Diceros bicornis minor: one gene and its partner. The protein of the gene in region 2 interacts with the protein of the main gene of each other region in a biochemical or structural test. Links are inferred from orthologs where the notes say so. Each region holds a gene or a part of one and is shown on either strand. Other genes may lie near its edges.

Evidence for each region.
Region 1: the proteins of RALGDS (region 2) and RAP2A form a complex in vitro, tested with the Homo sapiens proteins (2 studies listed by BioGRID). The link is inferred for Diceros bicornis minor from reciprocal best matches to the Homo sapiens genes RALGDS and RAP2A.

What each region holds. Positions count from the first base shown.
Region 1 is NC_080748.1:73,727,900-73,742,949, forward strand, and holds the start of RAP2A (ras-related protein Rap-2a), read left to right. Parts: upstream 1-7,941; 5' UTR 7,942-8,174; coding exon 8,175-8,488; intron 8,489-11,281; coding exon of another isoform or gene 11,282-11,468; exon of another isoform or gene 11,469-11,556; intron 11,557-15,050. UniProt on the Homo sapiens protein: Small GTP-binding protein which cycles between a GDP-bound inactive and a GTP-bound active form. In its active form interacts with and regulates several effectors including MAP4K4, MINK1 and TNIK.
Region 2 is NC_080767.1:40,108,538-40,123,711, reverse strand, and holds the start of RALGDS (ral guanine nucleotide dissociation stimulator), read left to right. Parts: upstream 1-9,771; 5' UTR 9,772-9,790; coding exon 9,791-9,973; intron 9,974-15,174. UniProt on the Homo sapiens protein: Functions as a guanine nucleotide exchange factor (GEF) activating either RalA or RalB GTPases and plays an important role in intracellular transport. Interacts and acts as an effector molecule for R-Ras, H-Ras, K-Ras, and Rap.

The DNA of each region.
Region 1 (15,050 bases), on a different chromosome or scaffold from region 2:
ATACGGGATGCTGCTACAGCATGACTTGACAAGCCGTGCATTTGTCCACACCTGGGATCTGAACCTGCGAACACTGGGCCCCCAAAGTGGATCGCTACTCCACAGGGCCGGCCCCTGGTCTTAGAGATTTTTAAAGACAATAACTGATATTACTAAAATATTTGATCACTTTTTCTTCATACATCTTGTGCAACATCACTTAGATTTTTTTCTATCTTTTCCTTAAGTATTTATCCATTGTTTTCAAAGTGGGTCTCTGTGTGGCAATATTCTGAGGCCTTCCATGCCTGAGAATATTCATATCTTATTCTCATACTTGAATGACACTTGGCTGAATATAAAACTTCAGTTTCTAAGTTCTTTTCCCTTCAATATTTTGAAAATCTTATTCTATTGTTCTTCTTGCTTCTAACGCTGCTACTGAGAAATCTGTGTTTAATCTGCTATTAATCTTTCATACTGTAAACATTTTGTATTTTCTCTTTGTCTTGGTTATCCAAAATTTCACTGTAATCTGTGTAGATATGGGTTTTCCATATCACTCTCCTTTGATACTCCACGGTCCCTTCGGTCTGAGGTCTTTTATTTGTTCATCCACCCATTCATTTATGGGAAATTTAACATTATCATTTCTCTAAGAAGTCATCCATCTATTTTTCCTTCTTCTTTTGGGGATTCCTATTATCTGTATGCTGCCACTTCTACTTTGGTTCTTCACATCTCTTGGCTTTTCCTTTTCCTATTTCTTTGAACTTCTCTTCTTCCTTCTGTGAGATGACCTCCATCCGGTCTTGCAATTCACTCATGTGTTCCTTAACTGTGTCCCTTCTGCTATCTTCTGCTCTCTCTCCTGTTCTTTAACTACTACCTCTTTCATTTTTAACATATCGACTTCATTCCTTTCTGTTTGTTTCTTTATTTTCATATGGCTAACACTATCCCTTATTTTTTTTATTATGTTTATTAGGCTAATTTTAAATTTTTGGTCCATTCTAATGTTTATGCTTCTGATGGAATCTATATATTTTTTTCTTTTGAAATAGTTATACTTCTCAAAATATCTTGTTATTCGCCATGTGCATTCATTTTTCTCTGAAAATGTGTATGAGGATAGGCCTAGGGTGACCCACTAGGACTGAGGAGTTTTGTAGAATGCGGGACTAAAGCCAAGACAGTCCCAGGTAGACAAGGATGGTTGATCACCTTACTAGACCCCATTTCGAGTCATGCCAAGTTGCTCAGAGGGTGACAGCGAATGAGTTTTAGAGTGGAGAACGCTAAATCTCAAAAAATCACAGAGAGAAGCAACATCAGTAGGAGCAGTCCTTGTGTTGTAATTGACCAGCCCAGGGAAGTTAGAGCAGGTGTGGGTGGGCAAATGCCCAAAGTTGGTTAGGACCTAAGGCGTTTCTAGGCTCCTCACAAGCACAGGGCTTCTGTGCAGCCCTGATTCTCCTCTTCAGTCCACTTGATTCAGAACTCTAAGTCACCACACGCTAGGGGGAGGGAGCAGGCACTGATTTTCCCAAGGCAATGGTGAGCGAGAAGCACAAGCAGATTTACAACAGTTCTGTTCCTGTTTTCTTCTCCCACAGTGTGGCCCGCTGCTTACTGCCCCAGGCCTAAACCACCACTCCCCCAGCCCCCGTGCCAAACAGTTCAAAAAAAAAAAACACCTCTTATTACCACGGTTTTCTCATAGTTTTCTCCATTTGAGGGTGTTTCACCCTCTATGTTACTCCACTGATCTTGGAGGAAGGAGCAGTAATAATGCTAGTTCAGCATCTTCATATCACATATTTGTATAGTGGTTGCTAATTATTTTTAAATTTTTTATTAAAAAAACAAAGAGTTTCTTGGAGATGTGGGAAAGGGCTTTGGAAATGGCAAAGTACTATAAATATTAGTTACGTTATTATGAATAATATCAAGATGTGTTCATATGCCTCCTGTAGATTAATTTTTCAAAAATATTCTTATATTTGTACAGAAAATAGCATTAGAAAAATTACTACAAGCAAATTTGACCAGAAACCACAAAATGTCTGACAAACTTCTGATTTTTATTACAAGTATTTATTATTGTTGCTATACTCTTACATTTGGTACATCTATGAGGTTTTTTATTTCCAAAATGCAACACTAATCTGTACTTATTATTCCTTACAGCTTTGTTATTGAAAAGATTTTTCTATGGCAAGGTACAAAACGGCATTCTAGGGAAAACATTTTAAATTACATTATTTACCAAAAAGACTATCTTTATATATTACTGGTCTATTGAAATTTTTCTTTTCAATTGAATTGCATTCATTTTTACATAATGCATGTCAATAACAGCTACCATGAAAAAAACAACCATAAGCAAAAATTGTTTTCCTGCCTGTCTTCATTTTTTGCTCCTCCTCATTTTTCTTTCTACTTCTATTTGTGAAAGTTTAAATCCCTCCTTCTTGATGCCCTGAAGTCCATAATTACTTCTCATGACAAATCTTTCATGATGCCCACATTATAAATTATTCATGATTTGAATGATGCTTTAATTTCAAATGTACCCTTGTACTCTTTCCACTTTTTCTTCTGTATTATTTTCCCTATATTTTTATACCTTTTATAATCTTGCTTTGAGATTTCTAGCTTCTGATTTTTTCCCTGATAGTTGTCCCTAGAAGGGCATTGCTACAGGGAATTAAAGAATCAAGTGATTCTGCATTTCCCTCACTTCACTCTTACTTCATTCCTGCTTTCTTCCTGTGTTTTTTTGGTTCCTTACATCTGGAGTGCTCCCTTCTGCCCAATCTAGTCTATTCTTTAGCCACTTCCTTCAAAATCTGGCTCCACGTTAATTTCCTTCAGCAGCTTTCCTTGACTAAACACACTCCAGTTTACTCCTTGTTTCTCTTGATCTCTAGAAATTCATGTATAAACTATACATAACATTACCATGTACTAGAAAATTATTATTGTAATTTTATTCAGTTATTTAGTTATATATTTTGTAATATTTCATTATGTTATTATATTTTATTATACACCCTTGTAACCTCTGATTTTTCCTTATTAGCATTAATTATAGCTATTACATAATGTAAACATGTAAGGGGTCACTTAATGTCTATCACTTCTGTTTATAATGTTTGTATCTCCTGCTAGATTGCAAGTTCTTTTGGCTGTCTACTGTTGAATCATCAGAGCCTAGAATGATATACATAGTAAGCACTCAATAAATAGTATGATGTCTTTCAAATACCATTCAGAATGTTAGTAGAATGAAGAGTGCTCACAAATGCTTGCTGATTTTTTTAAAATACCATTTTGTCTTGAATTCCTCATATTTTCTTTAACAGTTGGGATGTATTTGACTGCAAGATGCAGAAAACCTAACAGACTTGAACACTTAAACTAAAGGACACTTGCTGTTTACTTAGCCGTAAGTCCAAAGGTGGACATTTCCAGTATTGATTTGACAGCTCAATGTTGTCATCCAGGAGTAGGTCTTTTCATCCTTCTCCTCTGCCATCCAAAGCTGGTTAGTTTTCAACCTCAGCCACAAGGTGATGTAGCCCAAAGATGCTGGCCACATTCTCATATTTCAGTATGCAAAGCAGGAAGCAAGCAAGGGGAGTAATGTCAAAAAATGGGAATATCTACTCACTCTTGTGAGAATTCCAGAAATTCCCCACCCCCAGCCGCCTTCTTCCCGTTCCAATGGTGAGAACTGAGTCACGTGCCTTCTTCTGAACTAATTGCACAGAGGGGAAAGCACTGCCATTAATGATCAACCCTGATTCATATCATTTTTTTCAGCAAAAAGAAAGGGAAACTGCTGGGTATATGAGCAATATTGTGCCTGCTCTTCTGCTATGTTAAATGAACCACACTAAAGCTCTTTTTTCCTCAGAACCTTCACGTTCTTAAGATTATTCAGGCTTTTTCTTTTTCCTCCCTATATTTTAATCATTAAGCCTTTTCTTTCAGAAATTTTTTCTGCTTAAAATTGCCTTTTGAAGCATTTACTTGCTCAACCAAAAGGTTTCTTTCATTGACTTGTTTACATACTCAGTGTGTATTTAATTCCTTTTCTTTTCAAAAGTGCTGAGACATATCACATTTTCAAAAGAGAAATAAGTTTATTTTGCCCCTTCCTTTCCCTTCATACATACTTCTGTTTCTCAACTGTATTAGGAGCCTCAGAGGCCAAGAAAATGTCTTCTGCTCTCTTTATAATTGCCAGCAGCATTTCATAGGTGGTAAATGTACTCGACTCGTCCTTCCCCTTTATGGTTACTCAGAGAGACGTAGGCTTTAATAGGAAGCAATAGGAATCAGGGTTTTATAGCCAAGAAGTGCTGGTCATATTACAAATGCCGTCTACTAACTTGTTTATATTAAATTCTTTGCATACTTGCTTCTTGCCAGCATCAGAGAGTCCCAGAACACAGTGTATTTCCCACTTCATTCCACCTTTTCCAACATCTTTTACAGAAGCAAGGAAAGGAGCTGGGTTTCCACGGTAACACAAGTGTGACAGTCGAGGGTATCTGGGCATAGGTGAGATAACTCTCCGATTCAGTGGGGAGAGGAGAAATGAAGTTTTTCTTTCTTTTTTTCTCCAAAGCAATGCACTCCTGAAGCTAAAGAGACCCTAATGTCAGCGTACAGTGTTAAGTTTTCACTATCATACAGATTTACAGCTCTTGGGGAAAATTCAATTTTATTTTATCTCATTTTTATTTTGTCCTTCCCACAAACAAACGAATGGAGACATAAGTTTTTATTTCTAAAATCACTCTCAAAATAGACAGTTCATGCTGGCATAGGAATGAACATGATTAAGGGATCAGACGACAGACACCCATCTCCCACGCAAATCTGCAAAATTCTCTACATATCCTGACATCCTTTCTTATAGTAGCTAATGCTTCAATCAGCATTTCACGTACAGCCTCAAATCAGGTAAGTACCATCACCCAAGACCGAAAAGGTAAGAAAACATGCTCCTACTCACCATGTTTCTCTTGTCTCTTAGCGGTTAAAAATCTACCTTTATGTCATTGAGAATGAAAACTGAGGCCTGTCAATATGAGAAATATAAATGAGATGCAACTACCCCAAGGGCTGAAGTCTCTACATTTCAACTTAGCAAGAAAGTCACCATTGATGAAAGTTCAGGGAAAAGAACCTGAGAAATGTCAAAAAGCTCGCCCACTCTTTATTACGCTAAGTGGAGTGACTAGGGAGCCCACTCACTATTTTTTTGTGACAACTTCTATCAGATGCACTCCAATTCCAAGCTTCTGAACTTCTGGGGACCTAGGAAATGAAAACAGTTGCTTAAGTTTACATTCTAGAACCAAAATGCCAAGGTAAATTTCTAAAGAAAGTCACTGGAAAGTGAATGGTTTTTCAGCTCCACTGTAATGCAAGGTACTACATGCATTGTAATGATCTACACAAGGAGAGCAAGTTTGATGCCTGTTGGCTCTATTTAACCCCCAACAAGTCTAGGAACTCGTTATCATCACAGTACACTATTTGGATCTTAAAAGAGACAGTCTGTTCTTCCTCTGAAAGAAGTCTAGCTGTTGCTAAGCTAAAGTAACCACAAATAAGCATACAAGTTTTACACAGAATATGAGACTTCTAAAAAGCTAGTGAACACTGTATTCACATACATCATCCTCTTCAAACATCCCTGCCAAAAAAGCTCATATATGAAGCGTCACTTCATATCCATGTGAGCTCTCTTAATTTCACTACACTTATTCACATTACTAGTTTAGGATGAGATATCAGATCTTCTTTGGTTTCAATTCTCTTCAAACATTCCTCTGATTCTTAGTTCTTTTGCAGTTTGCATTCACTGCTGATTCTGGCGGCTCAGATATAACCTCTCATATTTTGATGGCATGTAATCGAGAAATAACAATTGAGTTATATTTTACTAAACATTTTGACAGGAAACTTGTCCTCAATTATTTTAAACAAAAACTTGGTATGTGTTATACTATAGCAAGATAACGCAAATGTTAAGTTATCCGTTCTAACATAATGGAGCGACAGAGCAGTAGGACACTACTAAATCTGAGTACATCTTTGCAGTAGTTTGATAATTGATGGCAAAACAACACCTGCTTTTTTGAGGAACTCAGATTAAAATCCTCTCTATACGATGACCTTGTGGGGAAGGGGAGGGGGAAGAGGTACGCCGTGATCAAACATTAAAACTGTAGACATTTGTTATTCCTAAGAAACGTGAGCTAGTAGGGTGTAGACTAGTTCAAGAAAGACATAGTTTAAGGAAGGTAAATCCAATATCAGCTATCACAAAAAATAATCCAGTAATATCTGGGAATATAGCTTCTCAATGTGATGTTATGGGTGGGAGAGAGTGTGTAAGATCTAAAGCTACAGAGAAAAAACGGTAAGTTTTAAAACCGAGTAACTTAAAAAAAATGTTTTAGGAGGCACGCATGGAAGAACCATGCAACTGCTGCAGTACGGAAAATTTCTCAACCTAAAAACAAAAGTCCCTGTTTTCTCGATTCATCCCACGCTTCGGCCCACAGCCCTCAGCACCATTTCCATGCCCATCATTTAGGCAGAATGCCACGGAGACGACCTGAAAAGCGGAATTCACCACTCTCGCCTGCAACACATCTCGCTCCCTACCAGAACAGGGCACAGCGACCAGCCCCTCAATCTCCGACCCCTCCCAAACCCCACCAGCCCCGGCCCTGTCTCCACACCACCGGCACTCGGTGGCAAAGCAATCGCGAATTCCGGCTGGCTCAGCGCAAGCCTCCGTCATGCGTCAGCCCACCTACGATTGGTTGGCAGAGCGTGCGCAGGAGCAAACGCCCAGCCCGGCCAAGCAGTGGGAGGTGGGTTGGACGATCCAGCGACTAGACATTATCCCTGTGGGCCGATGGATGGGCGTCACGTGGTATGAAGCTGCTCCCTATTGGCCGAGAACACTACCATGGGGTCCAGAGACGGGGTCTGGTTGGCTGGAATGAATCCCAGCGTCCTACTAGGTATCCCAGCTGGCTGTTGCTATGAGGTGTCCCTGGGCCTTCTGGCGGCGGCTCGGGGCTCCGCTCTCCCGGTTTTCCAAGCGCCCGGAGCTGACAGGGCGTGGGAAGCGCTCGACAGAAGTCGGGCACTGAAGGGCGGGGCCGGGGGAGGTGGGCGGGGCCCGGCTTCCGCGGTCCCCGGCCTTCGCCGCCTCGGGCAGTGGGCTGTGAGGGGCCTGTCACCTCTCCCTCAGACCTGATGCTTAAAACAAAGCCTCATCTCGTGGTGTTTATGCGCGTCCCCTTAAACAAAGCTTCCTCTCGTTATGTTTACACAACATGAAACCAAAGCTTCTCAGGAATGCTGACAGACAGGAATGCTGGCCGACAGTGGTGTCGGCCAAGGCCCTCACGCCAACGCCTCCTTTTCGACCTTGCCCATGTCTTCTTCTCACTCCCCTCTTCAGGTTAAAGCCTGGAGATTGCTCTGGCCCGCCTAACACCTTGTCTCCGCCAAATTCTGAGCGTGGGATTCTCGAGTTGACGCGGTTCCCGGCTCAGGCGGACAAACTGCGCATGCTCAGTACGCAGGCCTGGGGTTCGACGGGGCGTGCGGGGTGGGGTGTTGGGCGTCCGAGGCGGTTGTTTATCTAAGCGCGGGCAGAGGCTTCCGCGCGGCGCTGAGCCTCCCGGGAGCGCGCGCGGCTGGTCGCTAGGCGACGGGGGTGGGGGCGGGGCTGCGCCGCCAGGCCCCGCCCCGGGCCGCCGGGCCCCGCCCCCGGCAGCACCGCGACTCGGGCTCGGGCGCGCGCTCCGGCGCCGGGGGAAGCGGCGGGCGGGGAGCTGGGCGTGGAGGCGCGAGGGGCGGGGCGGGCGGGCGGCACTGCGGGCCCGCGGCTCGGGCGGCTCCGGCGGCTCCCGCTTCCTGCTCGTCCTCAGAGCCTGCCGGCGCCCGCGGGGCCGCATTGCCGCCCGGCTCGGCCCATGCCCAGGGCCGCTGCTCCCTCCGCCGGCGCCCGGGGGGCTGCGGCGGCCGTGAGGTGGGGGCGGCCGCGGGAGGCGGCGGGGCCGGCCGCCGGCGCAGGGTCCGGGGGCGCAGCGCGGCGGGCGTAGGTCTATGTCGCGGGCGGCGGCGGCGGCGGCGGCCGCGGAGGGACGATGCGCGAGTACAAAGTGGTGGTGCTCGGCTCGGGCGGGGTCGGCAAATCCGCCCTGACCGTGCAGTTCGTGACCGGCACCTTCATCGAGAAATATGACCCCACCATCGAGGACTTCTACCGCAAGGAGATCGAGGTGGACTCGTCGCCGTCGGTGCTGGAGATCCTGGACACGGCGGGCACCGAGCAGTTCGCGTCCATGCGGGACCTGTACATCAAGAACGGCCAGGGCTTCATCCTCGTCTACAGCCTCGTCAACCAGCAGAGCTTCCAGGACATCAAGCCCATGCGGGACCAGATCATCCGAGTGAAGCGGTGAGAGGGCCGGGGTGCAGGCAGGGGGCTCCGCGGTGCGGTCGGCGGCCGCCGTCCCGGGGCCGGGACTCCCTCCCCCGGGCTCCGGCGTGGCCGTGGGCAGGGGGAGCTGTGTAGGGAGGTGGCTCCGGGGTCTTATGCTTTGTAATAAATTTTTTGCCAGCATCGCCATCCTCATCATCTTGAATCTCAAATTTGAGTGCTTTGTTTCACAACTCAAATTTGGCATCCCGTGAACCCACAGCACAGTTCTTTGTCTCTTGGATATTATTAGTAGCGCTTGTGCAGAACCCCAAAGGAGACAAAGTTTAAAACTTGCAAGGGGGAGTGGGGAGGGTAGGTTTGTGTTGGGAGGAAGGGAGCTGTGCAAGTGTAGTGGAGACATTTTCAGACTGAACAACGAAAAAACCTACCTTTGCAATATTTGACAGCAAAAATTGCTCACACGTATGCCGTAAAAATGTCAAGTCGAGAGGAAAGAGACCTTTCTCATCTCAAAAGATTGAATGGTGCCAAGGCGTTTTACGAAAATGAACTCTCCAATTAAGACGAAACTTTAAAAGCGGATTATCAAATTATTTGAAGACACCATAGCAGCTCAGTGGGATTGAGAGAGTATTAGCATATAAGAGTACAAATATGCCGTTCACATTAAAGAATGCAGCTTTTTGTTTTAATCTAGCTGCCTTACCCCCCTCAAAAAAAAAAAAAAAAGAAAAAAGCATTCCTGGAAACAAAAGAGAAGTTTTTTCAGGGTGTGACTCAAGTATTAGATAATTTAAAGTTAATGCAGATAAGGTCTATCCTGATAGAAACTCTTTTCTAGAGTATGCTTTTCGGAAATATGATGGTAGTTTAAATGGCTTAAAATGTTTATTTTCTGTTAAATTGAGTATATTTTTTCTATAGTTTCAAGCATTAAAAATGTAGTAATATCTTAGTTCAAAGTTTTAGCAGATTATTCTAATTACTGTTTAATTACACATTAATGTTTTTGTCTGGTTCTTATTATTAGTTAATAATTGCTAATAATTTTGATTTAGTTTTTCTTTTTCCCACCTAATTCTACCTATAGCTCTAACTTGAAAGACATTTACTGAAAGATGGTTGTAAGTGTACTGTAGACACAATCACATTATAAGTCAGTTGGAGTCTGCTCATTCTGAAAGAGCCAGGGCCAAGTCACGTGTACTAAATCAGGGAGTGCTCAAAAATTCATTACCAGTGGTGGATTTTTAATGCAACAGATGAGATCAAAGAGGAGGCTCTCTCTCCATGACCCCCCCTTAACTCACTGAATATGCACTTTAATAGCTAAACTAAAATTTTGTGTGTTATTTCTTTCATTAAATTTCAAAGTAGGATAAAGTGAATTTTTTCCTGGCCTCTGCTGCTGCTCTAAGATCTGTGAATCTGATAGCTTTTACTTCTCCAACCTTGTTTTCATAATTGCTTATAGTTAACAAATGAACGATTTTGGTGTTAAGCTTAATATGTATATGACATTTTGGGGCTACATTTTAGTGACTCATATCCTTATTTATTACTCCTCCCACCCCAGCTACTCAGAAAAATCCAAAACAAAACTGCAGAACAGAGTAGTCTAATATATTTCACATGTCAGTCTTAGGCCATATACATATATCAAATAGTTGAAGTAAATGCCTCACCCTTTGCATTTAAATATATACATATAATACATACGTTGATAAAGTCACATACCCAGGGCAAACTTCTTGAGACAAGCCTAGGGAACAGAATGGCAAAATATCATTGGATAGTATAGTGCACATGATTTTGTCGTTTCTTATGATTTAGTGCAGATTACTAATAATGGGTTAGTCTAAACTTGGTACAATTTATTTGTAAACTGGAACAATTTGCTTGTTTGCACTGTGACCCAGGAAGAAAAAAAGAGTAAAACTCTACTTGCCCAGATGTCATTTTACTTAGCAGTCTCAGTTTTGATGTAAAAAGATCATTGATCAGCTGAAATAGAGTCCATAAGCTCTTTTCTCTGGATTCATCCATTGTATCCATAAGACCCACTGGGGCCCTTGTGTGTCCTGATATTTTATACCTCACCCTAACCTCATCATCTGGCCTCCTAGCCTATAGCATATGATAAGCAACTTACCTTGAGAGAAAGAAAGGGTCTGTATATTATGTATACTATAATATATAATATATTATGCTAAAGCAAGTGTTCAGTGTAGTTCTTTAACTCTTCCCACTTAAAGAGAATAAGACAGGATTTTCTAATAAGTGAATTTTCTACTCTTTTTGGGTTTAATTTTTAAATTAACCAGTTGCTATAGGAGGTATTTAGTAATTGTTCCCTCCCCTCTGCCTGCTAGCTGCCTTACGTATTAATACAACAGTTGTTTGGGGATATTTAATATCACCATAAAGCAGATGACATAAATGAAGTGCAGAGAGGTTTGGTATTTTGCCCAAGACCAGTCATTGAGGGAGAGGTGATTTAAACCAAGATCTGCCTGAATCCATGTACCATCTTCTTTTCTTCCATACCAGGCTGCCTTTCAACTTGGTATTTACTGGCAAATTCAATATCTGGCCTTTGGTCTAGGGCAGCACTGATCAATGGAAATATAATGTGAGCTACATATGTAATTTTAAGATTTCTAGTAGTTGATTTTAAAAATATATAAAGCAGGTGAAATTAATTTTAATAGTGCATTTTATTTAACCTGTCATATCCAAAATATTGTCATTTCAACATGTAATCAGTATTCAAAAATTGATATATTTTACTTTCTTTTTCATACCAAGTCTTCAAAATCTGGTGTATAATGTACACTTAACAGCACATCTCAATTCAGACGAGCCATACTTCAAGTGCTCAGTAGTCACATGTGGCTACAGGCTACCACTGGACAGCTCAGGTATAAGGTGTGTATGTTTTGGAGAAATGCTTGCTTCTCTAAGCCTCAGTTTCCTTATCTGTAAAATAGAGTAGAGCATGCACCTCTTAGTCTTTGTTAGGATTAGATGATAAAATATGTTTTAAGGTGTCCAACACAATACCTCAAACAGAAATTGCTGCAGAGTTCCAGCTGTTCTTTTATTAATAACTTTGTTACGCTGCCTTCTTTAAATTTTATCCTTGACATAAATGTAATTTTGGAGGAAAGTAATGTGTGATTGTATATTGAAATTCCTTACCTAGTGTAGACAAGATGAGACTAAAAAGCAATGCAGAGTAGAACAATCCTTAGAAAAATTTTGTTGGTGTTCTCTTAAAATATTTTCCCTTATTAAGGATCGTGTGGGAAGGAGCAGGAGGATGAATATTTAACTTCAAGTATAGCACTAATGCATGGCCACACAATGAAATGGAGCTTTGCATTGGATTGTTCTTGTATGGAACGTTTTGCTTTCAAAAAATATAAAACAGGCCCATACTTCCTCAAGTGTTTACAGGTGCACAGACATCCATATACATACACAACCTCCTGTCAAAGCCAAGTGGACCAACTGAAAATGACTGTATTTATAAATTCCTATGCTTTCTTTTTTTAACTTGACTTTGATTGAGATCACACATAAAAGAAAGAGTGATAGGGATACAGAAAATATTTCCATTGAAATGAAACCAGAGTTCTTTCTGATTTCATAATTGCTTTTCTCATTCCTCCCAGGGTAAGCCATGGTCCCGGCTGGAGTATCTTGAACATGTTATCCAAGGCCTGTTGTTCTTAGGATGAAGCCCAGAAATCTTCCACATGACCTTCCCAGGCCCAGCACGCTCTTGTCCCTCCCTGCCTTTACAGCCTCACCCTTACAACCCTCCTCATCCATTAGATTCCAGTACCCAGACCTTCTTTTATTTCCTTAAAAGTGTCAATCTATAGGTTCTCTACCTGTGGAAATCATCTACCTTTTGCAGAGTTTATTCCTGCTCCCTCTTTCTCCACGGCTTAAAAGGTTTCCCCCTCAGGAAAGTCTTTGCAGACTGAATTAACTCCTTCCTGTCTTCCCACCCTGGATTACCTTCATGCCTCAGCCCTCCAGTGAGTACTTCAGACAGCACTGGCCCCCTGTACTTCCCTCTTCCTGTAGCACTCATCAAAGTTTCATTGTTTGTAAGATAATTTACATACAATCGGTCTCTCTCATGAAATTCTAATCCCAGGTGGCTAGCACAGCTCCTGGCACATAGCAATCAAGAAAAACATATTGAAAAAAAGTAGTGTTCAGAAAGAAAAATATTTTTATTTTCCTTTGGCTTTAGTTTCCCCAAACATTTTAATTTTATAGATGGAGAAGATGATTCTTTAAAGCTCATTTTGCAGATGGAGTAGATGATCTTCCTTCATCTCTAACATTCTCTGAGAGTACTTCTATCTAATTGGGGTGACAGGGGAAGAGGCAAATTTTAATATAAACCTTAAAAAAATCAGGAGCACGATGTTTTCCAGATGGAGGAAATAGCATGGGAAATGCATAGAATATATTTGTTAGCTGTTGAATAGACCAGATTGGCTAAACTAGAAATTTATATAGGAGTATGAGAGGAGATAAGGCCAAAAAATGTAAACCTAAATTACGGAAGGTTAAAGACTTTGGACTTGATCTTGTTGTCAAGGACCATGATCAGAATTGTTATGGAAGTAGTAATTATGATGGTAATGTGATAGATGGCTTAGTGGCAATAGGCCAGAGCCAGGAGGAATAGTTGTGAAGCATTGTGATAATCTAGTTTCTATATGAAGTATAAAGATTCTGAATTAGCCTGGTGTCTATAGGAACAGAAAGGAAATATGGTTCAAAATAATGTTGTAAAGAATGAATTAATCAAACTTAGGGGGAGGCAAGGAGAGGGAAAGGTCAAAAGTAACCTTGACATTTTGAACATGAGTGAATAGGATTATGGAGGAATAGCTGGGAGAGATTATTTCAGTTTGGAGATAGTGATCATCCAGATAGATACACCTAATAAGTAATTAAAATATTTGAGTAAAGCCTGAAAGGTCAGTTTATGTATGAATATAAAGACTCCTTCAGGATCATCTGCATAATTCAGATTTGGAGAGGAGAGGAAACCTGCTGGGTGGAGTATAGAGAGAGAGATGAATGGATACAGCCAGGAATAGAAATTAGAAGTGAATACGGCCAAGGATAGAACTTGAGAGTTGCAATATATAGAGGAGACTTCATACATTGCAGTAGACTATAAGGTTGGAAAAAAGAACAGGAAACGTGGTTGATATACACTACCCAAAATGAATGTTACTATTTTTTTATTATTAATATTTCTATATCATGTAAGTGATCACTTACAAATGACCCAAATGATTGTGGACACTTCTCCTCACAATAAGTAAGCCATAAAAACTTTCTCTAAAATGGAGGCAGATTGTCAATTGCTACACGTGGATCCTGACCCATAACAGATTAGTGCTGTGAGCTGAAACTAGAGAACACATCAGGTGATGTTTGTCCCAAATACGTGAAACTTCTGGAGTCCGCCACCATTCCCTCCTCCACAGATACCTCCTTCCCCAGTTTGATACCTCCAGTAACCAAAATTGTAATTGAAAGCTAGGCTACAAGATACAGGGCCTAATAGCCATAAGGCACTTCATATAGCCCAAAGGTTTTCCTGCAAGGGAAACTTGTTTTTGCTGCTTTGTAAAATTAGAACATTAAGGGATAGTAGTTTTCTTTTTGCCATCCCAGCATTGGAATTTTTAAAGTTCATTTTGCAGGTGGAGTAGATGATCTCTCTTCAGCTCTAATGTTCTGTGAGTACTTCTGTCTAGGTGGGGCGATAAGGGAAGAGGCGAAGTTTAATATGAACCTTAAGGAGTCAGCAGCCTGTGATCTGCAAGTCTTGTCTAGTTAAGATTGGTGATAATTCAATCAATAAAATGTATAATCCAAGAAATCATTATAGTGATTTTTTTTTTAAGAAAAGGGTGAGGGGGCAAAAGTAATTTAAATAGCCAGCCAACCATTCTTCTGCACACAGACAAAAGATGTCAACTGTTGCTGCATATTGCTAAATCCTCTGACAAGAATGAATGGATGATTTGAAAGGTGACATGACTGACCACTGAATGAGAGCTATTCAGGCCACCAGGCAAGTGGATGATGTTGGCTTTCCAGCTGTCCTTTAGGAAAAAGTCACATAATTAATTATTAGATAAACATTAAGGAGAAGGTGGAGGAACTGATAAAATGTCTCTAGATGACACAATCAACAGGAAGTGCCAACCAAGTTGGAATCTTTATTTGTTCAGGTTTTCCAGTAGCAATATACTTGAGTGATTTAATTTCTGTATGCCGTCTTCTAGGACATTATATATGGCACACTAAAATGTATAGATTATCATTTACACTTATTTCTAAACAATGATCTATACATTAAAGCATGTATACCATACTTAAGGGATTTTTTTTTCAAGCATGATTTTTATTTTATAGTTTTTTTCTTAGCCGTTGCCTTCAGAACCTAAGCCCCTGGGGAAGCATGTGTGATTCCATTCTAGGGTTTCCTTTGCTTCTGTTTCCACTATTCCCTGTTACTGTTTCTCTC
Region 2 (15,174 bases):
TGACCTGTGCTGGAGGCTGGGGCGGGGGAGATGTGGGGGTAACAGCTGGGGGGTCATTGCAGAAGAGCACAGCGAGCCTTGTTTGGCTCTCAGGAGCTATAGAAGGGAGATAGGGTGACTTGCACGGGGTCGGTACCTGGGGAAGTGCTCAATAAATTCTTGTCGAGTCAAAGGCCTTAACACACAGACACCGAACAGGGCAGCCTGGGTCCCTATTGGTTCCTGCAACCCCTCCCACTTCCTGCAAGGGCCTCTCTAAGCTCTCCCCCACCCCAAACACGCTCACACAGTTGGAATCCCTCTCCCATCCACTCACCCCCTGATCCCTTCCACAGCACTGGGCTTCAGATGAGGAGGCCACGGCTCAGGGAAGGCCCTCCCCACTCCCCCATTTCATCTAAGGCCCCCAGAGGCTCAGAGAGCTTGCTGATATAGTACAAGGCAGGCAGACTGCATCAAACGATGCCCGTGCATCACACGGCCAGCCAGCTGGCCTCACGGGGGTGAGAGGCTGAGGTTGGGGACAGCCCAGGCACCCAGGACTGTCTCCCTCCTTGGAGCTCTAGTGACCCCTGCCTCACCCAGATCCTACTGGAGTCTGCATGAGATTGAGCCCCCGGAGAGCCTGCTGTGGTGGCCTGGCCTAAAAGAGATGTGGACCTGAGCCTGGCGCCCTCCCCCAGGACCAGGATGCCTTGCAATGCCCCAGCGTATTCGCTGCTGTTAGATAACAAACATTTCCAAGTTATCCACTGGTCTCGGGTTGCAGGGCCGCATGCTGAGCGCCAGACAGACCTTAGACTGCCATCTGGAACTTGCTCTTGGGGATGGAGCCAGCTGCAGTACTCCTGGCGTGTGAACAATATCCACCGACATTCATGGAGGGTTCATTGCGTGCTAGGCACTGGGGCAGCCATGTGACCACAGGAGATGGTAGGGTGCAGGTCCCCAGAGGGCCGATCACGAGCCAGGCCCGTGCTAAGCTCTTGTCGACTCCTCCAGTGCCCTTGTGCCCATCTTACAGATAAAGAAACTGAGGCCCAGGGATGTTAAGTCACTGGCTCGGAGTCCCAGAGCTGGCTGATTCGGAGCCCGGTCGCCTCTGCTATTTCGCGAAGGTCAGGGTTAAGAGTAGCCGTGCACAGGAGGGCCGAGGTGGCTGGGGAGGACATGCAGAGGGTGAACACAGGGAGGTGGTCAGGGCCCAGTGAGTCAGAGGGGGCTGGGGGCAGGGGGCAGGGAGGACTTCGGATTCTCTTGTGGGTGGGACAGAAGCCATTGGAGGGATTTTAGTGCAGGGGAGACATGCTCTGGCTGCGAGCACAAGTTGGCCCAGGGAGACAGGCAGCTGCTTTGGGGTCCACCTGGAACCTACCCCAACCTCGGCTCCATTTCTCTGATACTTGCCTGCCCGGCCCCCTACCCCCAGAAGCCCACCCACATCCCCTAGAGAACCACCACCTCAGGGGTTCATAACTTGCATCCATGGAATCCTTTCTTCCATGAAAGAAATTCTCCTGCCTGGAGCCCAGTGATGGGAGTGCAAGGTCGAGAGCTCCAGGTGAGGCTGGGGATGAGGAGGAATTTGAGTTTGAAAACCTCTGTACACCCCCCCCCCTTCCTTCCATAAGGGATCAGGAAACAGGTTCAGAGAGAAGAGGAACCTGAATGTCCCACAGGGAGGCAGCACCAGGCTAGGACAGGAACTGGGTCTCCTGCGTCTGAGCCGCCTGCTGAGCCAAGTCCCCTGGGCCTCATAAAGCCACCGGAAGAGGATGTGAAACGCTCAGAGAGGCAGACCGAGTGCTGGCAGGGCTCGTGTCAGGGCGGCATGCTGGACCCTGGCCACCCCGTCAGGGCCCCTGGGACCCAATGTGCCTATGGGCAGGCTCCGGAGCCCCCGACTGCCCCCAACTCCTCCCGGCCTCTGTGTTCCTGCTCACGCAGCCCGCTGCCCACCAGGGTCCTAGGAGGGTAAGGAATCGGCCCAGCCTCTCAGCCTCTGGATCACACTGGCATCTCTGGGTTTTGGGATCTGGGCTCTGCACACTGATGGAAGGAGTGTCTGTGGGCTCTACAGAGCTGCGTACAGACCCAAGTCCTGGATTCTCCCCGTGAGATCTTGGGCAAGTCCCTGCTCCTCCCCGGCCTCAGATTTTCCATTTGTCAAATGGGTGTGTTGGACTTGTTCCATGGCTTCCAATGTCTGGTTTGTAGCAAAATGCGAAAAACTGAGACAAGGTCATGAGTTTTTCTTAAGGCCAAATGCATTTGTTTAAGACCTCTCCTGATGGTATGCCCGCCTAGTTACTTTTTAGTGGTGTCTTTTATGAAATGATTGTAATGGTGGTGGTGACAGTATTATTATTTTTTTTTTTACTATCCTACGTGGCAAAATAAACAGTTAGCAACCCTAGGTTGGTCCCTGCAGTTTCAAATGCAATCCTGTGTCTCGGTGTCAGGTGGAGGAGCTCTGAGGGCTGTGGGGCCGGGAAGGCTTCAGGAATGAGGCAGTGGCTTGGAGCGAGCGGGGTCTCCTCTGCTCCCTCATTACGCCTGGCTGGGCTGACACCCGCCTCGGTGCCCTGCTGGCTGAGCCCTGTTTAGATCTCTGTGACTCGTACCTGCCACCTTTCTGGCTCTGGGCGTTGATTTCCCCGAAAGCAGGAGGAATGGGGACGGGGCCTCGGGTGTTGGAGGAGATAGGTGGGCCCTCCCCAGGAGAGCGGGGCCCAGCTGGAGCTACTGGCCCGGCTCAGAACAGAGCCCCATCCACACGTCTTTGGCTGGCCCTTGGCCTGGTACAAGTGGGAATTCCTGGCCCTGCCCGTCACTGGAGCAGGTATGACAGCCACGCGGTGACACCAGGCCTAGGCACTTGGGTGCTTAACTACGCTGGGGCAGGCGGACAGATAGGCAGACGGGCAGACTGGCAGAGGGCCTCCACGGAGCCCACCCCCCACCCAGCTCCTGCGCACCATGGCCCAGGAGACCAGGCCGGCCGTGCCCAGGGGCAGGAGGGGCTGGGTGTTCTTGGCCTGTGTCTCCGTGGTGACCGCCCGGCGGTGGGCTGTCGCCCGCCGTGCCTCTCTGCGAAGCCTCACACCCTACCCAGCACCTCTGCCGGCACCAGCACCAGCACCAGCCACCGAGGTGAGTTTCCAGGGCAACCAGTGCCTCTGCCGAGAGGCTGGGTGGGTCACAGCTGGGCCGCAGCCACCGCAGCTACTGGGGAGGTGGCTTCCCTCTACTTCCTCCCCTCCTGTCGGAACTGGTTGAAGGAGTTTGGCTGGAAGCTGAGAATCTCCATCTCCCATTCTGGGTGTGAGGGAGGAGGCAGTGGGGGGGGGCGCTGCCAGTGGTGCCTGAGGATGCCCACCCCTGCCAGCCTGTCTCTCTGCTCTCCTCCCGGGAGGGTTGGGGCAGGTGGCTGTGGGTTGTCCGAGCTGCTCCTGTTCCTCTGGTGCTTCTCAGATTACAGAGGGCTTTCGTGCACTGTCTCAGCATCTGCTCTCCTAGAACCCTGAGAGCCAGATGTTGTTGTTATTATTATCTCCATCTTACTGGTAGAGAAATTGGGGCTCAGAGAGGTGAAGCTGAGGCTACAAAGAGGCAGAGCAGGGACTTGAGCACAAACCTAGGCTACAAATCTTGAGAGAGAGAGAGGCTCCCAAACCTATAGGCCCCCTTCTCAGCCTTGTGTGTCCAGCCTGCGGCCTGCGTGGGCTTGGCGTGGGACGGGACCCTGTCTCCGTCTCCGTCTCTGACTGTTCCCTCTCGGGTGTTCTCCGTGTTTCGGGCTCAGTTAGTTTGCAGAGTCTCTGTCTCTGTTTGCGTCTGTTTGTGTCCCCTTCTGCTTCTCTTCCTCTCTTCTGTCCTCCCCCTTGGGCCGTCACAGGTTGGATTGGTGGCCTTCAGGGGTGTCAGTGACCCCTGGGGTGTCGGGCACTGAGCATTCCGAGAGTAAGAGACAGTTGTCAGAGTGGCCCCCGCTTCCCACTCTGTGGACGGTGTTTATTACGGTGACCCTGGACTGCGTGTACACTCCTCTGAGGGCCCCTCAACATTCCGAGACTTAGGGGCTGTGAGCGCCCCTTTCCGGGGGAGGACAGTGAGGCCCCATGGCAAGTTCATGGCTGAGCCGAAACTCACCGTCCCAGTCTTGGGCCGTTTCCGTGGCTCCAGGCATCGATGCATCTTGCTCTGGTTGGCGGGGACAGCAACGCCCTGTGAGGTCAGAGATTTGGGTCGATGATGATGTCAGATCCTTCCACCCAGAATGGTCTCCTGGAGGCTCAGATGCTTCATTCGCTGGCTCTTGACCATCTCTGAGCATGGCCTCCAGCCTGTGGGGACCCTCCCTTCTCCAGAAGAGGAACAAGCCCCTGGAGGTACCCAGGAGCCCAGTGGCAGAGGAGGTGGGGCTAAGCCAGGCCCACCCACTGTCCCAGGACCTCCCACGCTTGGCCCAGGTGCATCACCTGCCAAGGTGTGTGCTCACCCGCCCACAGAGGGCAACCCCAGGACCTGGCAGGCCAGGAATGGTGACATCAGTGTCAGGAAATGACCAAGGAGCCTGGCCAGGCCACACCCTCCCCGTGTCCTCCCCAGGCTCTAAATATAGACCAGAAAAGACAAAGCAGACAGGGTGACCTCCATCTGCCCAGCACGAGGTGAAAGGTTGTCCACCAAGGCCTGACTTGAGTCTGGAGACCTGGCTCCTCTTCCTCACTGGGGTCACAGCTCCCCCGGCATTGCCTTGAGCCCAATTCTCATTCTGAGCCACTGTGTGCCTGGCAGACCTCCCCAGAGCTGCACCCCAGGCCCAAACCCCATTCCCCGGGACCCCATGAATCAGCTATCATGTACCGGGCAAAGGGGTGGGTGGAAGGTAGGGAGCATGGGCCGGGCAGAAGAGGGGCTGGCTCGAGGCTCCGGGGATGGCAGCAGGTCTGTGTGAGCCTGGCTGGGCATGGTGAGAGAGGACCCCGAGATGCAAGGTGGGGTGCACCAAGCAGTTGATCTTTTGCCCGAGGGCAGTGCTGGAGGCTTTGAAGGGTCAAGACCCCTGTAGCTGCCGTGCATCAAGGGGATCAGTGTTGGGATGAAAGTGAGAAGGAAAAGGGGCTCTGGAGGTTTGGCCTGAGCATACCTTTCCCTTCAGCCAGAGGTGGCTGCCCAGGGGCCTCTAAGCCAGGGAGTGACGGAAGGCCCAGTGGGGTCTGTGGCAAACCCATGAGCACATGCCTTGGCTGCGGAGGACAGCTGCCCGTCAGCTCCCGCCCAGTCTCCTGTCGTGCGGGAACGCAGACGCGGTGTGGCCAGGTCGTCCAGTTACAGGAGAAGCCAGAAATGTGGATTTTTATATGAAATCACCTGACCTTTTACTGTTGGCTCAAAAATTGAAAAACACTTTGCAAGCCAAACAAAACACACGTGGGCTGGATTTGGCCTGGTTCTCGTCCTTGGCTGTCAGCTCAAAACCTGTCTTTTAAGCTTCCTGTGCCAGGAGCATCCCGACTGCGGAACAGTCTGGACAGCATTGTTCTTGGGGCCTCTTGTGACTCCCGAGGAGGGGTGGATGCTTCCCCCAGGGAAACGTTGGGAACCCGGGATGCCTGGGGACGAGGTGGGCTGTGAGCAGGATGAGGGAGGAGAGGAGTAACACCAGTTCATAATCACCCGCACTTCCTACAGTGCTTTGTGCTCTCTGTCCCTCCCAGCAGACCCCCCAGCCCCCAGCCTCGTCTGACTGCCCCACTGAGCTGTGTGACTTGGTTTCCCAGCCGCCCACTGCTTTGGCCCCCAAAGTGAAGCCTCCAGCCCCTTTTGTGTAAGGATGCTATGAGTGCCGCTGGGACATAGGACATGGTGAAGCTGTCATGCCAGGTGTCACTGCCATGGCCCGGGGTCTGAAGATTGTCACCCCCCCTCCATGGCTGCTTGGAACCTCAGTGGCATTGGAGGATGAGTCTCAAACTGTGTCCTTCTTCTAACTTCTATTATGGGGAATTCCAAATAGACACAAAAGGGAGAAAAATGGCATAAAGGCACCCCAGCTTTCACGATCACCCGTGCAGGGCCACTCTTATTTCTTGTCTGCCCCCACATCCTGCCCCCCTCCTTCAGCGGACGATGTTTACACAAATCCCAGGCATGTAATTCCATTCATAAATATTCCACTATGTTACTCTAATAATAACCAAAATCCCATGATCACACCCAAAAAATGATGTCGAATATCCAAATATTCAGTAGCGTTCAAATAATCCCAGTGGTCCCTTGGGTTTTTTTTTTTTTTTTTTTTTTTTTTGTGAGGAGGATCAGCCCTGAGCTAACATCTGCCAATCCTCCTCTTTTTGCTGAGGAAGACTGGCCCTGGGCTAACATCCGTGCCCATCTTCCTCCACTTTATATGGGACGCCGCCACAGCATGGCTTGCCAAGCGGTGCATCAGTGAGCTCCCAGGATCCGAACCGGCGAACCCCGGGCCGCGGCAGCGGAGTGCGCACTTAACCGCTTGTGCCACCGGGCCGGCCCCTTAGGTTTTTTTTTTTAACAGTTGCCCTGTTTGAATCACAATCCAAAATCCACATGTCGCATTTGGTTGACATCTCTTACCTTCCCATAGTTTCCCCTTTATTTTTTTCCCGGAAATGTATTTGTTGAGGAAACTGGGTGGTTCGTCCTTAGAGATCCCCACAGCCTGGAATTTGCCGATTGTATCCTATGGCGTGTTTAACATGTTCCTCTGGCCCCTGTGATCCCCCAAGTGGGAGCCACCTGCAGACGCCTGGTGGGATTCAGGTTTGGTTTTTGGCGAGAACACTTCATGAGTGGCTCTGTGTTCCTGGTCACAGGTGGCACCTACTTTCCTGGTCCCCTCTCTGTGGGGCCAGCCCTGCCCTTGGTAAGGGATCCACCCCACAGCTTTCGGCGGGCATTATGAGGGGAGCTGCATGAGGGCTCGGGAGAGGGCCTTGCACACGGGAGGCACGCAGTGCATCGCAGCTCCTGTCGCTAACAGTGTGGGGCAGTCTCCGCCTGCCTGACCTAGGGGCACCGGGCACCTGTGGAAGGGGCTTCACCTGTGCCGTCTCATTAGTTATGCCCCCATTACACAGGAGAACACTGTGTCTTGGAGGTGAGGTGATTTGCCTGGGGGAAATGGGGTCACACAGTAAGAAAGGGGTGAAGCTGGTCCTCAAACCCAGGCATTTTGGTGCCTCAACCTGTCCTCTATGCTACATTGACACCCTGGGAACTAGGGGTGTGTGTGTGTGCAGCTGGAGTGGTGACCAGGCTTGCCAGGACCCCAGAGGGGAGCCCCAAAGTGGGGGGCAAACAAGGCAGGGAGGAGGACTTCATAAAAACAAACAGACATTAACCAGAGGGACTGATTAGGTAAAGGATATACCTCCCCACCCGCTCTATGCATGTGAGGTCCAGGGAGTAGGATGGCAGGCAGCCCAGGCGGCTGTGTTGGGGGCAAGTGTAGTGATGGAATTCCCCACTTCTCACCTCTCCAGCCTACTTGGGCCCTCCCAACCCCAGCACCCTGGACCTTCAAGGTCAGAGAGGTGGTGACATGGGATACACTCCTCTGCACTCTCCAGCCCTTTCCAGGCTGTAAAATGGGCACGAGCCGGCTTCCCAGGCCCCTCCCTGGGAGAAAGAGATAAGGAGAGCAGAGAAGAGATAAAGTGAGCTGCAGGCAGGTGCTGGATTTACTCAGCAAGTTCTGAATTCCCCGAGGCTGAGAGCTTGGCCCCAGTAGCAGGAGTGGGAGGAGAAGCTTTTAGCCAGAGGGCATGTCCAGTGTCCTGGTCATCCCTTTGTTGCTTTGGAGGACCTCTTTCCTCTAAATGTGCCCCTCCCCCAAGGACAGAGCATGGAAGCTTCCTAACCAGCCTCCTAGGAATCACCACCCCAAACCAAATCTACCCATCTTGCTTTAAAAAAAGAACAAAAACACAGCACTTATGACATGTGCATGATTATTAAAATATTTTAGAAAAATTGGAAAATTCCAAGAAGTAAAAAGAAAAAAACGTATAGCACTGCCCAGAAATACCCACCATTACTTTTGCAAAGTGGGTCCCTCTAGCCGTATGCGTGTGTGTGGTATCTGGTTCTGAAAGCACATTCTGCTGCATCCTGGTTTTCTCACTTCACAGGTCCAGGAGAGCATTTCCCTGCATCCTGGGTCTGCTGTGCTGCGCCATGGCACCGAGGGGCCTGTCAGTTAGCATAGGGCATTTGAGTTGATTCGGTTTGGCAGAATTGTAGTCGAGGTTTCCATCAACATCCTCGTACAGAAATCCATGTCCACACCTCTGATTGCTTCCTTAGGGTGAATTCCTAAGAGTGGGATTATCAAGTCAAAGGGCATGAGCGTTTTTAATGCCCTTAATAGAAACTGCCAAATTGTTTTCTGCCCGTCTTTGTGAAGGCCTTGTACCCGGACAGAAAACCACCAGGCTGGCGCTCAAACTGGGTCCACACGTGGGTGGTGCTAGAAGGGGTCCCACCGTCCATGGATATCTGAGGCTTGGCACACAGTGGGTGCGCAAGACTGGCTTGTGGAATGTGTAGTCTGGTCCTGCCCTCTCATTTTACAGATGGCGAAACTGAGGCCCAATGGTATTGGACCGCTTCTGGGAGGGTGGTGGCATTGCCAGGGCTGCAGCCATCATCGCCAGCCTCTGTGAGGGCTGAGGGCTGAGGGCTGAGGCCAGGCAGGCCCCAACAGAGGATTAGGTGTGAGGGAGGTTCCCATTCATTCATCTATCCGCACAAACACCCTCTTGACCGCTGTTAACCTCCAGGCTCCCTCTTCCTTCCTCACCCGCTTATAGAAAGAGTAGCTGAGACTCCCTAGCCCTGCTTCCTCCCCAGCCCTCAGCAGCCTCATTTCCACCCTGACTGCTGCCCTGAGACCTTAGGCACTCAAGCCACCAGTGGCCCCAGTTGACCAGGCCAGTGGCCAGGTGCTGTGGCGGGCAGTTGTCACTCCTGATCTCTTACTCTTTCTTGAATGTCTGCAGGCCCCAACCCCGGTGACACCTGGTCTCGGTTCCTCCCCACCTCCCTGTGCCTCCTCTGCCTCCATTCTGCCAGGGTGGCCAGAGGGCTGAAAGGAGATAGTGCAGGCAACCGCCCCTTTGCAAACACACTTCAACACTCAGGATTTCCAAAAACCCATGTGCACCGGGGACACGGTCATCCTTCCAGGACTCAGGAGCACACAGTCAGGCCCAGGCACCAGCTGAGTAATAAACATCAGTCACCCAGTGTGAGCCTCTCCGATGAAGAAACTGAGGCTCAGAGAGGTTAAGCAACTTGTCCAAGGCCACAGAGCTAGGGAGGGGCTTGACTGGAATTCGTGGGAGGTGAGTCTGACTCTAGGGCCACTTGACCACACGTCAACTCGTACACAAGTCACATCTCTACACAACACATACACTGCACCAGCGCACGCACCGACAGAAGGTGCCTGACCGCCGTACCCACACCCCACAACACACACAGCACGTGTACTCCGGAACACGCAAGCAGCCAGCGGGGCCGCGGGGCGGCGCGGGCGCGCACACGGCCCCCCGTACCTCCGGCCCCGCCCCCGCGCCTCCGGCCCCGCCTCCCGAGGCCCCGCCCCCGGGCTGACCTCGGCGGGGCCGGGCCGCGGGCGCAGAGCGGAGGCAGCACAGAGCCGCCCCCGCCGCGCGCCGGGCCGGCCTCGCGCCCGCGCCGCCCCGGGTCCCGCGGCCCGGCCGGCCGCCGCGAGCCGCCCATGGTGCAGCGCATGTGGGCCGAGGCGGCTGGGCCTGCGGGCGGCGCCGAGCCGCTGTTTCCGGACTCCCGGCGGAGCCGCAGCCTGTGGGACGCCGTGCGCCTGGAGGTGGGCGGCCCCGACAGCTGCCCGGTGGTGCTGCACAGCTTCACGCAGCTCGACCCCGACCTGCCGCGTCTGGAGGTGGGTGGACCGGGCCGGCCCGCGGCCGGCGAGCGTGGGTGGGGGCCCGGCGTCCTTAGCGGGTCTCCCGCCTCCAGTTTGGGTCCGGGGGGAGGGGACGGTCCTTCCGCAGAAATCCCCCTTCTTGCTCCGACCGCAAGGCAGCAAGATGGGCGTGGGGGCTGCCGGCACACCCGAGCCAACAGTTTGGGGACCAGAACCGGTCTTCGTGCCCCCTGTATCCGTCCGTCCCAGGGCTTCCCTCACCGGTGTGCCGGCCCCGCGCCCCTGCAGCCCGGGTAGACCCGTTCCCGCGGGCTGTCACCGGCTGTTTACATCGGCGAACTTCCCAACAGCAGGGGCTGGGCCGCATTTCTCCTCCCTTGCCAGCGCGGGCCTGCACCGGCGGTTGGGCTTGCCAGGGCAGGTGGTGAACTCGTGGTTAGGTTGGCAAAGTCCTAGAACCCTCATAGGCGGTTGGGACCCCAGGGGCCTTCCAGACAAGCCCGCCTTGAGGGCAGAGGAGGGGCGTGGAGGAGAGGCAGGCCTCCCACCACAGGGCCAGGTGTCCAGGCGGGGAGGTTGGGACAAGGGCCTCTCCCGCCGAGGGGGTGACTCATTTCTGCTTGGTTAGAAAATACACCAACACCTTGCGTTTGTAAGGATTTGGGAAGACTCAGAGAAGACGGAATGTGCCTGTCAGGGGTGGGGGTGGGGGTGACTGGGTGAGGGCTGGGACTCTTGTTTCTAGTGCTCTGGGCAGTGGGGCCCAGTGGGTCATGGGGTCGTCACCGGGGAGGGGGGATGCCCTACTCCTTCTGCCACCTGGCTGTGCACCTGACTTGGTTCAGTGGAGGTAACAGATTCTGGGGATGGGCCCCCTCACCCCACTCTGCCTGAGCATGGGGCCTGGACAGAGGGCATCCCTGGGTCGATAGAGGCCAGAGCCTCAGCAGTGAAGTTCCGGAGCTCCCCACGCTGGTTAGGGCCCCTTGGTGCTCCCCCGCTTCATCACCTTAGGCCCTGGTTCGTTGTAATTGCCGGTGATTGCTGGCCTGGTTCTTGTGTCTCTGCGTGTCCTCAGTGCCTAGACAGGGCCTGAATGCATAATTGCTCAAGGATAACATACATGTCCCTGCACAGCGTGGGGGAAGGCAAGAGGTGGGGCAGCTCTTAGTGGGGGAACCGGGGGGCTGGGAGGCCCTTTCCTCCTGAGCTTGGTGGGTGGCTGCCCCAGGCATGTTTTCCAGCCTTCATCCAGCCACAGCTCTGGTCTTCATTGGCAGCTGGAGCTGGACCCCTGGGAGGGTGGTGGGGGGGAGGCCTGACACCAGCCCAGTGCTCATCTGACTTTCATTATGTCTGGCAGCGACTTGGGCTTTGTGTGCTGGGAGGGTCCAGCCTGCCCATTCATGGGGGCTAGGCAGGTTCCTGGCCAGGGTGGGGCAGGCCACTCGGCAGCTTCTGTCCCTCCTTCTTTCTGTTTGTCTGTCCATCTGCATCCCTGAGGAATTGAGGGAGAGGCAGATCTGAGCCCTACCCCTGCCCAGGGGTCTGCCTTGTCTCTCTCTCTCTCTTTCTGTCTTTCCCTTTCTCTTTCTCTCTCTTTTCCTCTCCTGCTGCTGCTGCTCTCCCTCACCCGGCCTCAGCACTGAGATCCAGGCCGTGGCCACTGTTTAGAAATCAAAGGGGAAGCTTCTGGCTGGGGCAGAAAAACCAGGGTCCTGGCAGGAGAGGAGGCCACTGCCGGAAACAAAACACAATAACCATTTACCATGGGCCGGGGGAGGGGGTGGGGAAGTCCCTGTCCCTCCTGCCAACACCCGCCCCCCCCCCATCCTGGGGCTGATTTCCTGGTCGCTGTAGCGTGCCAGAGCTGAAGCAGCCCTGCTTGTGGTCCCTGTCCTCTGGAAACTACCAGGCAGCTTCTGCCTTCCCTCCCCCATCCCCATTTTCCTACCAAGCCTCCACCCAATCCTTCCCTCTCTGGGCTGCCAGATGTCCTCGCACATCTGGGCATCCGCTCGTCATCTTGATTCTAAGCCAAGGCACCATGTGATTGGCCTGCGCAATTCTGTGCTTTCTGGAGGTCACCTGGCCCATGCCCCCGTCTCCAGGCAGGCCACTACCTTGGCCAGGCAGGGGGCGTTCTCGAGTCTGTAGTACCTACTGACTGCAGATACCACCCCACCCCCCCATTCCAGCTGGCTTTGACCAACCCTCCAGAGTAGGTGCCAGCCCCCCTGTATAGGAGACTGGAGCTCAGAGAAGCGATGTCCCTGATCTAAGCATACACACAGCCAAGGAGGACACAGCCAGGATTTGAACATGGGCTGTGTTCTCTCTCGGGCGCCTGCTATGTGTGCATGAGCCGGCAGGGATCAGAGAATGATAGGGCAGAGCTTTGCCGAGGCAACTATGAGTGCACGGGAGGAGGGTGGAGCCGTGGGGGGAACGGAACCAGGCCCAGGCAGCCCAGAAGCCCCGAGATCAAGTGAGGGGCGGGGATGCTTATAGACCAGCAGAAGGCAAAAGTGCTTTGGGCCTGAGGACACTGGGGAGAGCTTCCAGGAAGAAGCAAGCCCACAGCTGGACACCAAAGGTTTAAAATAATAGCTAACATGAGCCAGCACTTGGTGGGAGGCTCTGTGCTAAGTAATTTGCATTCATTATGTCCTTTTGCGGTCAGCACTATCAATAGCCCATTAAACAGACAAACAACTGAGGCACTCGAGGTTAATTAGATTGTACAAACTCACCAAGCTAGTAAGTGGCAGAGGCGAGATTCTGACCCGGGCTGTGTGACTGCAAGGCCTGAGCGCTGTCTGTGGGCGGAACGGAATGCAGAGGGCTTTTCTGCTCTTTGGGTGGAGGTACTCCTGGGAGAGTTGCCCTCCAGCCTCCCCGCCTCCTTCCCGGTTGTCTGGTCTCTTGATTGCACTGTGTGCAGGGCTTCAGTTTAACCCCCAGCACTCATTAGCTTCTGACACTGGAGGCCCCAGAGGCATGGCCTAAGGGGTGCACATATGTGTGCATGTATGTGTGTCTGTCTGTATGTCTTCGTACTGTGATCTTCAATAGGGGCTTACTGGCTGACTCCAAGGGGGCAGCCTCTAGGAGCTGCAGTGCCTGTCAAGTTCAGGAGGAGACTGACCGACTGCCGCCTGCTGGGCCTCCACAGACCCTCAAGTTCCATTCTTACTTTACTCTTCAGGGCCCCAGGAGAAGAGGAGGGAGGAGGCCAGGCTGGCTAGTACTGGGTCCTCATACCTTCTCTACATGGGAGACACTTGAGCATGCTGGACTGCTTCCCTAGAGGCCCAGGGATGGTCCTGGTGCAGGAGTGGGTGCGTGCGGTGGGGGGTCAACCTGGGAGATGTTAAATTGCTTGCAGGCAGGGCTGGGGTCCAATCCTCAACCTAGAAGTTGAGTTTCCCAGGCTCCGTCTTCATTGCCGCTGAGAAGGGGCTGTAGTAGATTGAGTGAGCCCGTGAGGGCGGTTTCAGGAGGCTGCACCCAGGCAGTTGAGGACTGATTCCCAGGGGCTGCTGGCTGGCCGCCCGGACAGCTCCCACGCCGTGGCACCGTGCTGTGGCCACACTGTCCAGGCGTGGGCCTCCAGCCTCGCAGGCCCAGAGACACCGTGTTCCCAGACACACGGTTCCAGCAAAGTGACTCTCCCCAATCTGATTCCGAGGAGACGGGAGTTGAAAGCTGCAGCCTAGTGCAGGAGAAGCAGAACTGTGGGCAGACCTGACTCTCCATCTCCTGTCCGGCCCATGGCTGGGGAGTGAGCAGATGATAGCCCAAAGGTTGCTCAGTGAGAGGCAGGGGCACCCGTGTGCAGGCCTGCATCCGGGGCCTGCGTTCCGGGAGCTCTCGGTGTGCGTGCTGCTTTGGCATTTCCTCTCCTCTCCAGGGACCGTTGGATGTTTGCACAGGCTGCTCGGCAGTCACACCTGGAGGTGTGATGTTGTCCTTTTGTACCCAGGGGCGGGGTCACGTATGCTGGTAGAGAGCTTGGGCTCTGGAGGGAAGGGAGCTGTGCTGGGATGCCAGCCCGGCCCCTTGCAGCCCTAGACCTGCTCCTGCTCCCTGAGCCTCAGTTTCCTCATCTGTAACATGGACCTGTTGCCAGATCCTCCCCTTAGGGTTCTGGTGAGGATGGAGTGAGACAGGTGGCCTGACAAGCAGTCCCCACGGTACCTGGCACAGCATCAGAGCCAGACAGGTGGTGGCTGCTGTGATTGTGTTTTCTGACAAGGTGCCAGGGGAGTGCCCGTGCCCTGGGCTCCTGGGGTATGCTGCCCAGCCCAGTCAGCAAGGTGCTTCCCAGGCCTGGTTCTCATAGCTGACCTCAGGGCCCGTGGGTGCCCTGGCCGTCCTGTGCCAGGAGCCCCAACAAACCCCCTCTCAGTGGAGAGGTGCAGGTGTGAGCGAGCTGAGCCCTGCCACCCCCGACTGGCTGTGTGACCTGAGAAAGTCCTTCCAGTCTCTTGTCTCTCTTCCCACATCTGTGTGACCAGGGGCTCGACTCTGCTCTGAGGCTGTGATCATGGCAGCCACTGGTGGAGCAAGGCCTAGGTGTGTCTTCACAGGACATTGCAGTCACGGACCAGGGTTCAAATCCCTGCCCCAGCTGCCACTTCCTCGCTCCTGACCTGGGCGAGTTCCTGCCCAGTTCTTTCCTCATCCATCAAGTGAGGTGTTGGGAGGGTTAAATATGATGAGTGGGCAAAGGGCCTGGCACCCAGGAAGTACCCACTGGTCAGTGGGGGACACTGGTCAGTGTCCAGTTGGGGGTGGACCTTCAGCTGGCCCCGCCCTGCACCCTCTCGGGACCAGGCCATCCTCCTCCTCAGCCGTCACCAGCCACACCCCCTTGCAGGCCTGGCCCCTGGTGGCCTGCTGGCCTGACAGTCAGGAGCCGGTCACGAACAGACAGGAGGATGGGTGTGGGGAGGGCCAGTTTCCCCTCCACACCTGAGGCACGTCTTTCCTCTAAATGCTGACAAGTAGCTGGGGTCAGGCTGGCGAGGAGGATTCTTGGGGAGATGGGTCAGCCTTTGCGGCGGGCTCAGCACAGGCTGGTCCCCAAACTCCAATTTCTGGGATCACCAAGCTCCATGGTTGCCCTGGCAACCAGGCACTTTGTGTGGTCCCTGGCTGAGGCTGCCTCTGTGGGACCAGGAGTGTGGCCCACCCCCATCCAGGGCCAACTT